Linked DNA regions of Oryctolagus cuniculus. The protein of the gene in region 3 purifies or fractionates together with the protein of the main gene of each other region. This does not show direct contact. Links are inferred from orthologs where the notes say so. Each region holds a gene or a part of one and is shown on either strand. Other genes may lie near its edges.

Region 1 (4,009 bases), on a different chromosome or scaffold from region 3:
AGGGATTCTTGTGAAAACTTGCAGGACATTAAACGGACTGCTTTTCATGAAGATAAAAGGTCCCCAGTGCGTGCAACTCCTGCAGTTAGGAATTCAACACCAAGTAGGCATTTCCATTCAATGATGGTGACCTGTGGTGGACTCAAACTACACTACTAGAAGGCCCGAGTGTTAAAATTACTCAAGCTAAGGACTTTTCCACGTGGTTATACTTTGTTGCTCGTTTTGGTAGCATATATACAAAGCAGTTAGTCTTTGAGATTAAAAAATAACCTTAAAATACAACTTTACATTCTTAAACAAAAGAAAGTCCACATCACAAACACTTAAAATTGTCGATCTGTGAAGCCAAATTAGGCTAGGAGTTTATTTGCTCTGTCTACACAGTAAGGTATTAACCACATTCCCTATCTTTTAAACTAGCATTTTAATAACATCTTCCCCTTTTATACTCAATTTTTGGCGAAGTAAAATAGCTTTCATCCCAAATGTGTATACCAAAACATCAATGCTTCATTTCTTTCCTATTTATTACTTACCATCCCAAATCATGCATTTAGTATTGAGTAATGAAGCAAAATTACTTAAAAATATGAGCATTATAAAAACCACCAAACAACAAAAAAATAACCGACAACCTACGATTCTATGCACCTAAATATCTATGCGGACTGCTGACCCAGAGACATCTACGTAGCCAACCACACTGGGATGTCAGACTTGACCGCCCAGGAGGGCTGAGCAGCCGGCAAGTGCTCACGTCAGCGTCCCGGCGGCCACGGGCTCAGGACGGAGGTCCGTGGACCCTGGGGTCTTCGCCTCCGTAAAACGGGAGGTGAAAACAGGACCCACGGCTCCCCGCCCTGTCGCAGAACCGGGCGAGATAACCAGAATCCGTTATCGTATTGGCGCGGGCGCCTTTGTTCCACTTCAGAGGAACCAGCAGCGCGGAGCGGGGGTCGCGACTCGAGATCAAGAGCCAGCACCGGGCGAACCGCGCGCGCTCCCGGGCGGCACGAGCACCGGCGCGCGGCGGAGCGGCCCGGCCCTCGCCCAGCGCCCAGACCGGGGTCCTCAAGCCCAGACCGGGGTTCTCACGCCCGCGGCGGAGCGGCCAGACGGGGGTCCTCACGCCCGCGGCGGAGCGGCTCGGCCCTCGCCGAGCGCCCAGACGGGGGTCCTCACGCCCGCGGCGGAGCGGCCCGGCCCTCGCCCAGCGCCCAGACCGGGGTCCTCACGCCCGCGGTGGAGCGGCCCGGCCCTCGCCGAGCGCCCAGACCGGGGGTCCTCACGCCCAGACCGGGGTCCTCACGCCCAGACGGGGGTCCTCACGCCCGCGGCGGAGCGGCCCGGCCCTCGCCCAGTGCCCAGACCGGGGTCCTCACGCCCGCGGCGGAGCGGCCCGGCCCTCGCCCAGTGCCCAGACCGGGGTCCTCACGCCCGCGGCCTCCGCCCCGCACCCCGGCGCCGCGGCGGCTCCTCCCGCTCCCGGGGATCCCGGCCACTCCTCCCGGTTCCTGCGGGCACAGCGTGGCGGGCCCTGGCCCCGGCGACTCCTCCAGGCTCCCAGGGGTCCACCCCGCTCCCGGGGTCCGACAGCAAAGGGCTCGGCCCCCCGACTTCTCCCGACTCCCGAGGGCGACGGGTCCTGGCCCCCCAACTCCTCCCGGCTCCCCGCCCCCAGGGGCAGAGAACCGGGACTCCTCCCAGACGCCCGGGGCCGAAGGCGCTGGACCCCGAGTCCAGCTGCTGCCCGCTCTCGGGCGCTGTGGCCCGGCTCGGCGCTGCTGCCGCAGGACAAGCGCCCGGTGACCAGCACAGCGGCCGGCCGGGCCCTGAGCGAGGACCCCTGGGAGGCCTAGCTCTCCCCGGACGCGGGCGCTGACCCAGCGCTGCCGGAAACGGCCGGCCCCGCGCGGCAGCCACGCCGGCCTCCCAGGCAGAGGGGACGCCGGCCGGGAAGGGCCGCGAGGACGGGCCGGGCGCCGCCGGGCGCGCTGCGCCGCGCGCCGCAGGCCTCACCTTCCCCAGGCGGCGTCCGGGCCTGCGCCTTAGGCTGGGCCTGCTGCTCGGCGTCCCCGCGGCTCGGCGCGGCCTCTCCCGGCTCCGGGCGCGGCGGGCGGCGGCTCCTCCTCCTCCTCCTCCACCTCCTCCGGGCCACCGGGCGGGGTCTCGGCCGCCCCGCGCCGCCTCCCGGCCGGAAGCCCCTCCGCGGCCCCGCCCCGCGGGCCGGGCGCGCGCCCCTCGCTCCGGAAGCGCATTCCTGACGGCCGCGCCTCGGGAGGCGCCCGGACAAAGGGCTCGGCCGGGCGGGGCCGCGCGGGGCCGGGCGCGCGCGGGGCGGCCGGCCGGGGGCCGCGGTGCCTCAGCCCCGTCTCCCGCGCCTGCGGGTCCCGCGCGCCGGTGTCTCGGCCGCCGCTCTGATCCGGTGTAAGAGGAGCCCGCCCGGGGCGTTGGGGGTTGCACAGGGTCCCTGGGGCTCTCTGACCCACGAGCTCCGTGGTCCCGCGCACGGCGACCGCTGGGGACCGGCGTTAATGACCCCGTGACCCTGAAGGGGGCGGTGAACTCCCCGCGCGCGAGGGCCCCCGCGGGATTCACCTGCGCTCGGTTCGCGCCGCCAGGCCGCAGGGTTCCTTCCCTGGGGTGCAGCTCTGCCGGCACACAGAGCGGGTGCTGGAATTCTGGATAACGCTGGATAAGTTACGGTGCAGGGCTCCTGTGGGCCCAGGCTGGAGCGGCGTGGGAGGGCAGCGAGAAGGGGGAAGCGGAGTGTTCTGTAGAGAAGCGGCTCACACAAACACCAGGGGGAGGGCAGGGCCGCCCGTGCTGCTGAGGAGGCGTGCGAGCCACGTCGCAGGTCTTGAACTCAGCACCCGTGCGGGCTTCGCCACCCCAGCTCCCGGGCAGTGTTCTCGTCTGCCCGGTGGTAGACCCTCCTCCTGACCCTTACTGCAGTTCCCGACCCTGCTAGTACCTGCTCTCCAGAAGAGCCTTTGGTCACCTGCCGCTCTCAGTTGCTCGCCCACAAGGGTCTGTGTGATCTCGGTCTCTGCCATTAGAAGAAGGCTTACCTCAGTGAAAGGCACCATGCTGCCTTAGTCAGATGCACTTGCCTTTCCTCAAACACTTGGGTCCCACGGGTTGTCTTTTATCACGTGATTGTGGGAGACCTGCTGGGGTGAGAGCCCTCTGCCTTCTGATGGTTGAGAACTCCTGAGACTCGGGGCAGCACTGTGATGTAGCAGGTAAAGCCCCCACCTGCAGTGCCGGCATCCCATGTGGCCACTGCTCCACTTCCAATCCAGCTCTCTGCTATGGCCTGGGGAAGCAGTAGAAGATGGCCCAAGTCCTTAGGCCCCTGCACCCGCATGGGAGACCTGGAGGAAGCTCCTGGCTCCTGGCTTCGGATCTGCCCAGCTCCAGCTGTTGCAGCCATGTGGGGAGTGAACCAGCAGATGGAAGATATATGTATATGTGTGTGTGTGTGTGTGTGTGTCTTTCTCTCCCCCCCCTTCTGCCTCTCTGTAACTCTGCTATTCAAATAAATAAATAAATTGTTTAAAAAAAAAAAAAAAAGAACACCTGCGACTCAGAATGGATGCCTGCATCTGTGAGAGTGAAAGGGTGAGACGTTCAGACAGACGACACAAGACCAGATTTTCCTGGGGTTGGCCACAGACTGACACCATCCATACCAGATCATTTTTTACATTTTTTTTATCTGTTTCATTTACTGAAAGACATTGAGACAGAAACAGATAATGATCTTCCATCCTCAAATGCTGCAGCAGCCAGGGCTATAGCAGGCAGAAGCCAGGAGTCAGGAACTCTATCTGGGCCTCTCATGTGGGTGGCAGGGACCCAGCTACATGAGTTGTCACCTGCTGCCCCCCCAAAAAATAATGCTCATTAGTAGAAAGCTGGAATCAGAAACAGAGCTGAGACTAGAACCTAGGCACTTAGGGCATGTAGGCAGATCACAAATCACACAATAAGATCACAAATC
Region 2 (4,220 bases), on a different chromosome or scaffold from region 3:
CCTGACTCCACCTGTCCTCCTTATCTGCACCCTATCCCTCCACCCCACTTCTTCCGGACCTGGCCAGGAGAGCCTTCTGACTAAGGGATTCTGAGCCCACTTGGAGGGGAGCTGGCCGAATCTTGCGCAGAAGAGCTGACTGGCTCAGCTGCGTCACCTGGGCCAGACAATGGAGCCAGTGGCCCAAGCTGGACAGGGCACGGCCCCAGTCACACAATGCCCTCCCCCCCCCCCCCCCCGCCTCCAGCTGTGCCATGAGCTCACTGCTTCTCCTGGGACTTCTGGGGTAAGAACCAGGCTCTGCCCAGGCCAGCAAGGGGGCAGAAGCCCCTCCCCCAGTGCCAACCTTTAGGCTACCCCAGCTGATGCCCAAGGCCCCCCACCAGCTCCCTAACAAAAGCTTTTATTTGCATATGGCCTGTACTTATTTACCTACGGCTGTCTTTCTGTAGGGAGGCACTAAGCTCCCAGCTGCTCCTCTCTATTCCTCCTGGGAGAGACCAAGCCTCTCTTCTTCATTCTACCCCTACCCTCACGCCCAACTGCACCCCAGCATATACTCCTGGCAGCACTGGAGGGCTCGGCGTCTTCCTTCTCTTCCCCTGTCCTTCCATGGCCTCCATTAGATAAGCTCAGAGAACCCTGGGATGTAAGAAGGGCTGCCTCAGCCCCCCACCCCCATGACTCCCACACACCCCTGCAGAGGGGCAATCCAGGGGGAAGATGAGGGAACTCCAAGGCGAGGTCGAGGGGACTGCCCTCATCAGTCACTTCCAGGCGTGCCACTGTGCAGTGGCTGAAGGGAAATACCCAGCACTCCGTGGTCCGGGAGCCCTCCGGCTCCTCTACAAAAGGCCCTCTCGTCTTCCCTACCCCACGGCCATGCTCTCAGCCCCTTCCTTCTTCCTCTGGCTGTCACGGGGAGAACTCGTGGTCAGCTGGCGCAGGACACAGGCCTGGAGTCCGGATGTCAGGTTGCAGCCCCAGGTCCAGAAGTCTGGCCCAGGACCAGTCCCTTCCTCTCCCAGGTCTCAGTTTCCACCCTGAATCTGTGACTCAGGAGCACCTCGCTTGGGGCACATACAATCAGCATGAAGGCCAGACAGCCAGGCTGACACCTCCCCCCCACCCCACCCCACTCCTGCCTACTCCCTCGAGGCAGACTCTGCTCAGAAGGGCCCCTCAGCCCTCCCTGGCTCCACAGCTGCTGATGCCTGGAGATCCCCATGGGAAAGTCACCCTCCCAGCCTTGGGAAATGAGCTGTCACACAGCTCCTCTCCCCAGCCAGCCCCCTCCCTGGTGACTGGATCTGGGTTCACATCCTGGCTCCAGCACTCACTGCAGGTGAGCCCTCAGATCCTCTCTGTGCATCCCCCCTCCCCACCTCCACCTCCCCTGGGCTCCTCACTGCCCCATGCTTTCCACTGGGGAGAAGGAGCCAAGTGCTAGGCAACCAGGTCCCCCAGCTCCTTCCTCGCTCTACACCCATCTGCTTCCCGGCCAGGGACCCAAAGAAAGGCCTCCTCCTAGCCCCGTGGGCACAGGGCGGTGAGGCAAGGGAAGACTGCACTATCTGGAAACAGGCGGTGGCTGGGGCTTCTGCGTTGACTACCCCAGCTCTCAAGCCACCACCCTCTCCCCCTGCACCCTGCTCCTCTGCAATCGGCTCCTCTAACTCCCCCACCCATGGCGCTCCTGTTCCCAGGCCTTGGGTCTTCTGGGCAGCCACGCAGGCAGCTGTACTGTCTCCCCACCACACTCTTGCCCACACACCTCCAACAGAGAATCTCCGCTCCAGGCCTCAACCAATCCCACTGTCACTACCCTGGAGCATCCATGCAAGGCCGGCCCCAGACGGCCCCCATAAACACCCAGACTGTGGACAAGTTGCTTGGAGCTCGCAGAATCAGTCTCCATGGAGCTTAGCGTCTCATGAGGCAGGGAAGCAGTCACTCAAGGGGTGTGCCGACCAGTGGGGGTCGCAGGGCACAGTGCCATCCGGGAGCGCTGAAGACCGGCAAGGAGGGACCCGGCCCAGGGTGGAGATGGGGCTGAGAGTAGAAACCGCCCCCAACCTCAGATAAAGTGTATGGGGGGCAATTAGGGAACAGCAACTTCAAAGATTGTGGGCAGAAGCGGCTCCTGGGCCTCTAGCCAACTCTGATGCAATTACGAAGACGGGCAGGCACTGCCCACGCAGGGCAGACACCCAAGGCCAGGCCTGGGACTGAGTGGGGGGCAGAAGGGACCTGCAGCACTTCGTTTGCGGCGACCCCAGGATCTAAATATGCGGGCTGAGAAGCGGGGCTGCCTCCCTGAGATCCGGGGTGCCCCAGTTCCCAGGCCTGGAGCTGGGGAGCCCTGCCTCTCCCCATACAGACTCGGCCATACCGCTCTCACCTAGAGCAGCGGGGCGCCGAGCCCGGGGAGGCTGGAGACACCCTTGAGGCAGAAGGGGGCTGCGAGGAGTTCAGAAAGGCGGGGGAGACAGCGGGGCCGGGGCGGGGGCCGGGCTTACCCAGCGTTAGCAGCAGCAACTGCAGCAACCGCGGCGGCGGCGTGGGGCGGAGGGCGCCCATCGTGCGCAGCCGGATCTGAGGAGTCTCCGGGGGGCGGCGCGGACTCTGCGGGGCCGGGGCCGCGGGGGGCGCATGCCCGGGTGGGGAGCAAGAAGCGGAGCAGCGAGGCGTGGGTATACGGAGCGGCCCGGCGCCGAGCGGGAGCTGCTGGGTCCCCCCTCCTCTCTGCCTCCTCCCGCTGCTTTTACTCCCGCCCTCGGCGGCCCCAGGGACCATTCCCGTCCCGCCTCGTCCCGCCCCGCCGCGGTTCCCGGCCCCGCCCAGTCACAGTCCCGCCCCGCCAGACTCCAGTCTTGGCCCCGCCCCAGGCCCCGCCCCGGCCCTGGGCTCATCCCTATCTACCCTCGCAACGAGCTCACCCCCGCCCTGCACCTGCTAGCCTTTCCCGGAGGGCTGGATACAGGAGCCCTGGGGTGGTGGCCACGTGTTTAAAATCCAGTCACTTGCTCTGGGCCACTGGTCTTCGCAGCAAACCCTGCAGAAGGGGTAGCAGGACCCCGGAGTTCCGGGACGCGGGGGGGGGGGGGGGGGGGCTTTGGGCTGAAACCCCGTTCAGGGCCCCGGGAGACCCGTACCACCTCCCCACACCCCCACCCCCCACAGAGAGCGAAATGAAAGAATGGGTTAGGAGGGTGCGTCATCCGGAAGCCATTGCTTCCTGGTGCCGCTGCTTAACCTCCCTCAGCCTCAGTTTTCTCCCTTGCAGACAGAACTGAGTTCTATCACGTCCGCCGGCATCCTCCCCCCTCCCCCCCCCCCGGGTAACCGTGAGGACTGACGCTGGAGTTTTGGCCCAGGGTAACCTACACGAACGAGGAACTGGCGTGGGGACGTTGTTTTGTTTTTTCAGTTATTATTAAAACCGTTTCCTTAGTTCAGACCTGGGGTTTTGTGTCCAGTGGGAGGAGCTGGGAAGGGTAGGGCCTGGGGGGGGGGGTGAGGAGGAGCAACTGGTTCCTAGGTGCTCTGCCCTGGAGAAGGGGGCCGTGGGAGGGGCGGCAAGGGGGAGGGAGAGAGGGAACAGCCAGGCGGGCCAAAGTGGCTGCCAATGGGAGGGGACCCTAGGGCTCACCTCGCACCTGGCGCCCTTCAGCCCCTACTTGTCCTTTCTGAGTTCTCACCTCCCCCATTACAGAGAAGGAAGCCGGGGCCCAGAGAGCGGAAGCGGCAGGGGCCAGACCAGACCCTTCCAGAGCCTGGCACAGTGCCCAATTCAGAGCAGGTGATCATGGATTGGCCAGTTGCAGTCTCACTCAGGACCCCTGGAGGAAGCAGAGCTTGGGAGCCTGGAGGGCACCTAGAGGCCGTCACCTCCCAGTGTGGGCCCAGAGGCAGGCCAGCAGGGCGTCTGTTTATCCATATATCCACAGCCTGGAACCTGCAGACTCATTGCATCAAGTCCATCCCTAGACGCATAAGGGAGCTTTTAAAGATTTATTTATTTATTTGAGAAGTAGAGTTACAGACAGAGAGAGGGAAAGACAGGTCTTCCATTTGCTGGTTCATTCCCCAAATGGCCATAATGGCCAGAGCTGGGCTGATCTAAAGCCAGGAGCCAGGAGCTTCTTCCGGGTCTCCCGTGTGGGTGCAGGGGCCCAAGCACTAAGGCCTTTTTCCACTGCCCTCCAGGCCACCAGCAG
Region 3 (3,510 bases):
CAGAAGTCTTTCCCAAGCCCACGTGCCAGGGTCGGCACGGAAACTCCAAAGTCGAGGAAGCACCAAGTGCCCCCGCCCTCTGTCTCACCTGTGTAGAAGCTAGAGTTGTTATTCTTATCTTGCTCGAAGATGCTCTTGGTCTGAGAGTCGAATCGGAGCCATAGCCCAATGGCGAGGACGGCAATGCCGGCAAGCTGCAAGATACACGGGACACAGGCGTTAGTTCTGAGCACCAGCTACCTGGATGCAGGAGGGGAGGCTTCAGGCTTGCCAAGGATTTGGGGATTTCTCAGTCTCTGTTCCTCACAAGGACCTGGCAGCAGCAGGAGTCGGTGTGGAGTGTATGTATGTGTGTGATCAACCCAGTTTCTCTAAGTGTCTGTGCGCTGGCAAGAAACAAGCACCTATTAGCAATATAGCAACAGAGTGACTATCTGACGGGTAATAGAATACTACACAGGTGTCGAGCTGTGGAGTAGCGGGTTGGTTGAGCCGCTGTCTGCAATGACAGCATCCCACATGGGTACTGGTTCGATCCCTGGCTGCTCCACTTCCCATCCAGCTCCCTGCTAATGCACCTGGGAAAGCAGTGGAAAACAGCCCATGTGCTTGGGCCTTTGCACCCATGTGGGAGACCAGAAGAAGCTCTTCACTCCTGGCTTCGGTCTGGCCCAGTCCCGGCTGTTATTGCCATTTGGAGAGGGAACCAGTGGATGGAAGACTTTTCTCTATATATCCCTGCCTCTCTGTAACTCTACCTTTCAAGTAAATAAATAAATGAAAACAAGGAAAAGCTTTAGATAAAAAAAAAAAAATACAGCAGTGACAATGAGTAACTACAGCCACATGCAACATTATGAGAGCATCTCTCAAAGTTACACAAAGAAGCAAGAGCCAGGAGAACACAGTCCAAAATCAGTGTTCTGTGCAGGGCTGCACATATACATACGTATGCAAATATGTGCATGCAAATGATAACGGAAACCAGAGAAAATGATGACCACAAACTCAGTGGTGACTTCTGGGTAGACGGAGGGACAAGCACTCGGGGAAGAGGAGGTAGTGGCAAGGGGCATATCTAGGGTGCTGGTAGTGCTCCCATTGTTTTTTTTTTTTTTTTAAACTAGTTATTTATTTAAGAGGCAGAGACAGAGAAGGTGAGCGAGTTTCCATCATTCCTCAAAGGCCTGCAGCGGCCCCTGGCTTGGGCTGCAACCAGGATTCAGGCCTCCCTGGGAGTGGTGGGAGCCCAATCACTCGAGCTGTCACCACCGCCTCCCATCTGCGTTAGCAGGCAGCTGGAGTTGAGAACAGGGCCAGGTAGCAATGTGGGTACTCCACTATGGAACCACTGGCACAGACACCTGGCCTTGGAGACCGCACTGCTTAGCAAACGACACACCAGGGCCTCCCCTCACTGCCCCTCTCACAAGGCTGAATCCCAGCCTGCACCGCTGAACAGGCCAAGGAGGCGGCCTCCTGCCAAGCCCCACCCCAGCGCCAGCTCCCATTGTCGCCCGTACCAGGGCTTGCCGGGGGAGTGACTCACAGGCCTCCAGCGAAGTGACCGGCTGCACGAATGAGTGGGCGGGCTCCGGGCCAGCGCCTGGTTTCCAAGATTTGCTGACCCCCCTCCACCCGCAAACAGAGGGGCTCTTATGCAGAGCCCAGCTCTCCAGGGACCTTGATTCTCTGCCCCAGGAGCTGGCAACATCCGTGGTGTGCACAGGCCCTCTTTCCTCCTCTCCTGTTCCTCACCGAGTGGCAGTGGGTGAGATGTGCTGGGTGGAGAGAGGAAGTAGAGCCCCCCACCCCCAACTCCTGGGTGGCCACAGCCTTGCCTGCACCTCCAGTGGTGCAGGCTGATTTGTCCCCATCACAGGGGCATTTCCATAGAGTGGCCTACAATTGCTGGCTGAGTGTTTTCCCACCTGGAGTGGCAGGATGGGGCCCTGTCTTCCTCTTGGCCTGCAGCTAACTAATGAAGGAGACTGCCTTCAACGGAGGTGGTGCCAATGGGCCTTAGGAGAACAACATAACCCGAGCAGCGTGAAAGTCAAGAGCATGGCCCCATGGCCCTCTGCACACTCAGCCCCTTCCCAGACCTCTTGGTCCCTGTGTTACAGAAGGCAATGTCCAGCATCACTTAGAACCACACAAGGCCAAGTGCCTGGCAGCTGTAGGCCGAAGAGAACAGTGCACAATGTCAGGCTTGAAGGGGTGGGAATTTTACGGTGAAAATGCACCTGAGGGGCAGCTATTTGGCCGAGCAGTTAAGATGCCTGCATCCCCGGCCGGCGTTATGGTATGGCAGTTTATGCCACCTCCTACAACACCGGCACCACGCATGGGCAAGGGCTGGAGTCCCGGCGGCTCCATTACTGATCCAGCTCCCTGCTAATGCCTGGGAAAGCAGCCAAAGATGACCCAAGTGCTTGGGCCCCTGCCACCCATGTGGGAGACTCAGATGGGAGTTCCAGGGTCCAGGCTTCAGCATGGTCAAGCCCTGGTCATTGGGGCCATTTGGGGAGTAAACCAGTGGATGGATGGAAGATAGAGCTCTCTCTCTCTCTCTCCCTGCCACCCCACCCCCAACTGCCTTTCAAATAAATCAATATTAAAAAAAAAAAAGATGCTTGCATCCCATATCAAAGTGTCTGGTTAGAGTCCCAGCTCTGCTCCTGATTCCAGCTTCCTGCTAATGCAGACCCCAGGAGGCAGTTGGTGATGGCTTAAGGAGTTGGGTCCCTGCTGCCCACATGAAGACCGGACTGGGAACCTGGTCCAGTTCTAGTTGTTGTGTGCATCTGGGGAGTAAACCAGTGGGTGGGAGCACTCTCTCTCTCTCAAAAATAAATGAAAGAGGAAGAGGAAGAGGAAGAGGAGGAGGAGAGTCTGAGAGCTTTGGGTTCAGTGACACACGGGGGCCAGGATTTCTTATCAGTGAGACATGATGAGGTCTCCTGGCCTAATCCATGGGGAAGAAGGAGGAGTCTTTCCCACGCTGGACCCAGCCCAGATGCCCTCATTCAGACTCTGGGTTCTCCGAGTTCCCATGAGCACCACTCTCAGAGCGGGGGAGTGCTTGCGCCCAGCTGGGAGCAGCCCGGGCTAAAAACCTGGGTGTGGCTCAGCCCCACGTGCACACTGAGAGGGTCTTGCCACTGCGGAAGGCAGGATCTGACCTTGCTCCCCTATGGCAGGAAGTGATCCCTTCCCACCCCTGGGGGCTGGAAGGCTCAGGCTGCTGGATCCCAGCGTGTATGACCTGAAAGCTAGGCTGCAGCCCCCAAGGCCGGGGTCCTCAGGCTGGTCTCCACTGGGGTTAGCCCTGAACCCTCTTCCTCTTGTCTTGGTTTTGGAGACAATGCCTAGCGGTGCTCCTCAGGGAGCCTTCTGTTCTGGGCTTGGCGCCAATCAAAGATTTTCCCTCAGCTCATCCCATCCCCCTACGGAGGGAAGCTCCTGCCCCACCCCCATCCCATCCAAAGGACTAAGCAGAGGTGCACT

The links. The genes of interacting proteins can lie anywhere in the genome.
Region 1: the proteins of CD9 (region 3) and ITGB1 purify together in Homo sapiens (co-immunoprecipitation; 5 studies listed by BioGRID and IntAct, with this or other methods). This does not show direct contact. The link is inferred for Oryctolagus cuniculus from reciprocal best matches to the Homo sapiens genes CD9 and ITGB1.
Region 2: the proteins of CD9 (region 3) and IGSF8 purify together in Homo sapiens (affinity purification with mass spectrometry; 5 studies listed by BioGRID and IntAct, counting the BioPlex papers as one, with this or other methods). This does not show direct contact. The link is inferred for Oryctolagus cuniculus from reciprocal best matches to the Homo sapiens genes CD9 and IGSF8.

What each region holds. Positions count from the first base shown.
Region 1 is NC_091444.1:108,893,684-108,897,692, reverse strand, and holds the start of ITGB1 (integrin beta-1), read right to left. Parts: upstream 2,811-4,009; 5' UTR 2,602-2,810; intron 2,185-2,601; exon of another isoform or gene 2,023-2,184; intron 1-2,022.
Region 2 is NC_091438.1:38,823,892-38,828,111, reverse strand, and holds the start of IGSF8 (immunoglobulin superfamily member 8), read right to left. Parts: upstream 2,811-4,220; 5' UTR 2,797-2,810; coding exon 2,520-2,796; intron 1-2,519. UniProt on the Homo sapiens protein: Member of the immunoglobulin superfamily (IgSF) that links tetraspanin-enriched microdomains to the actin cytoskeleton and plays several important roles in innate and adaptive immunity.
Region 3 is NC_091440.1:103,253,412-103,256,921, forward strand, and holds part of CD9 (CD9 antigen), read right to left. Parts: intron 195-3,510; coding exon 89-194; intron 1-88. UniProt on the Homo sapiens protein: Integral membrane protein associated with integrins, which regulates different processes, such as sperm-egg fusion, platelet activation and aggregation, and cell adhesion.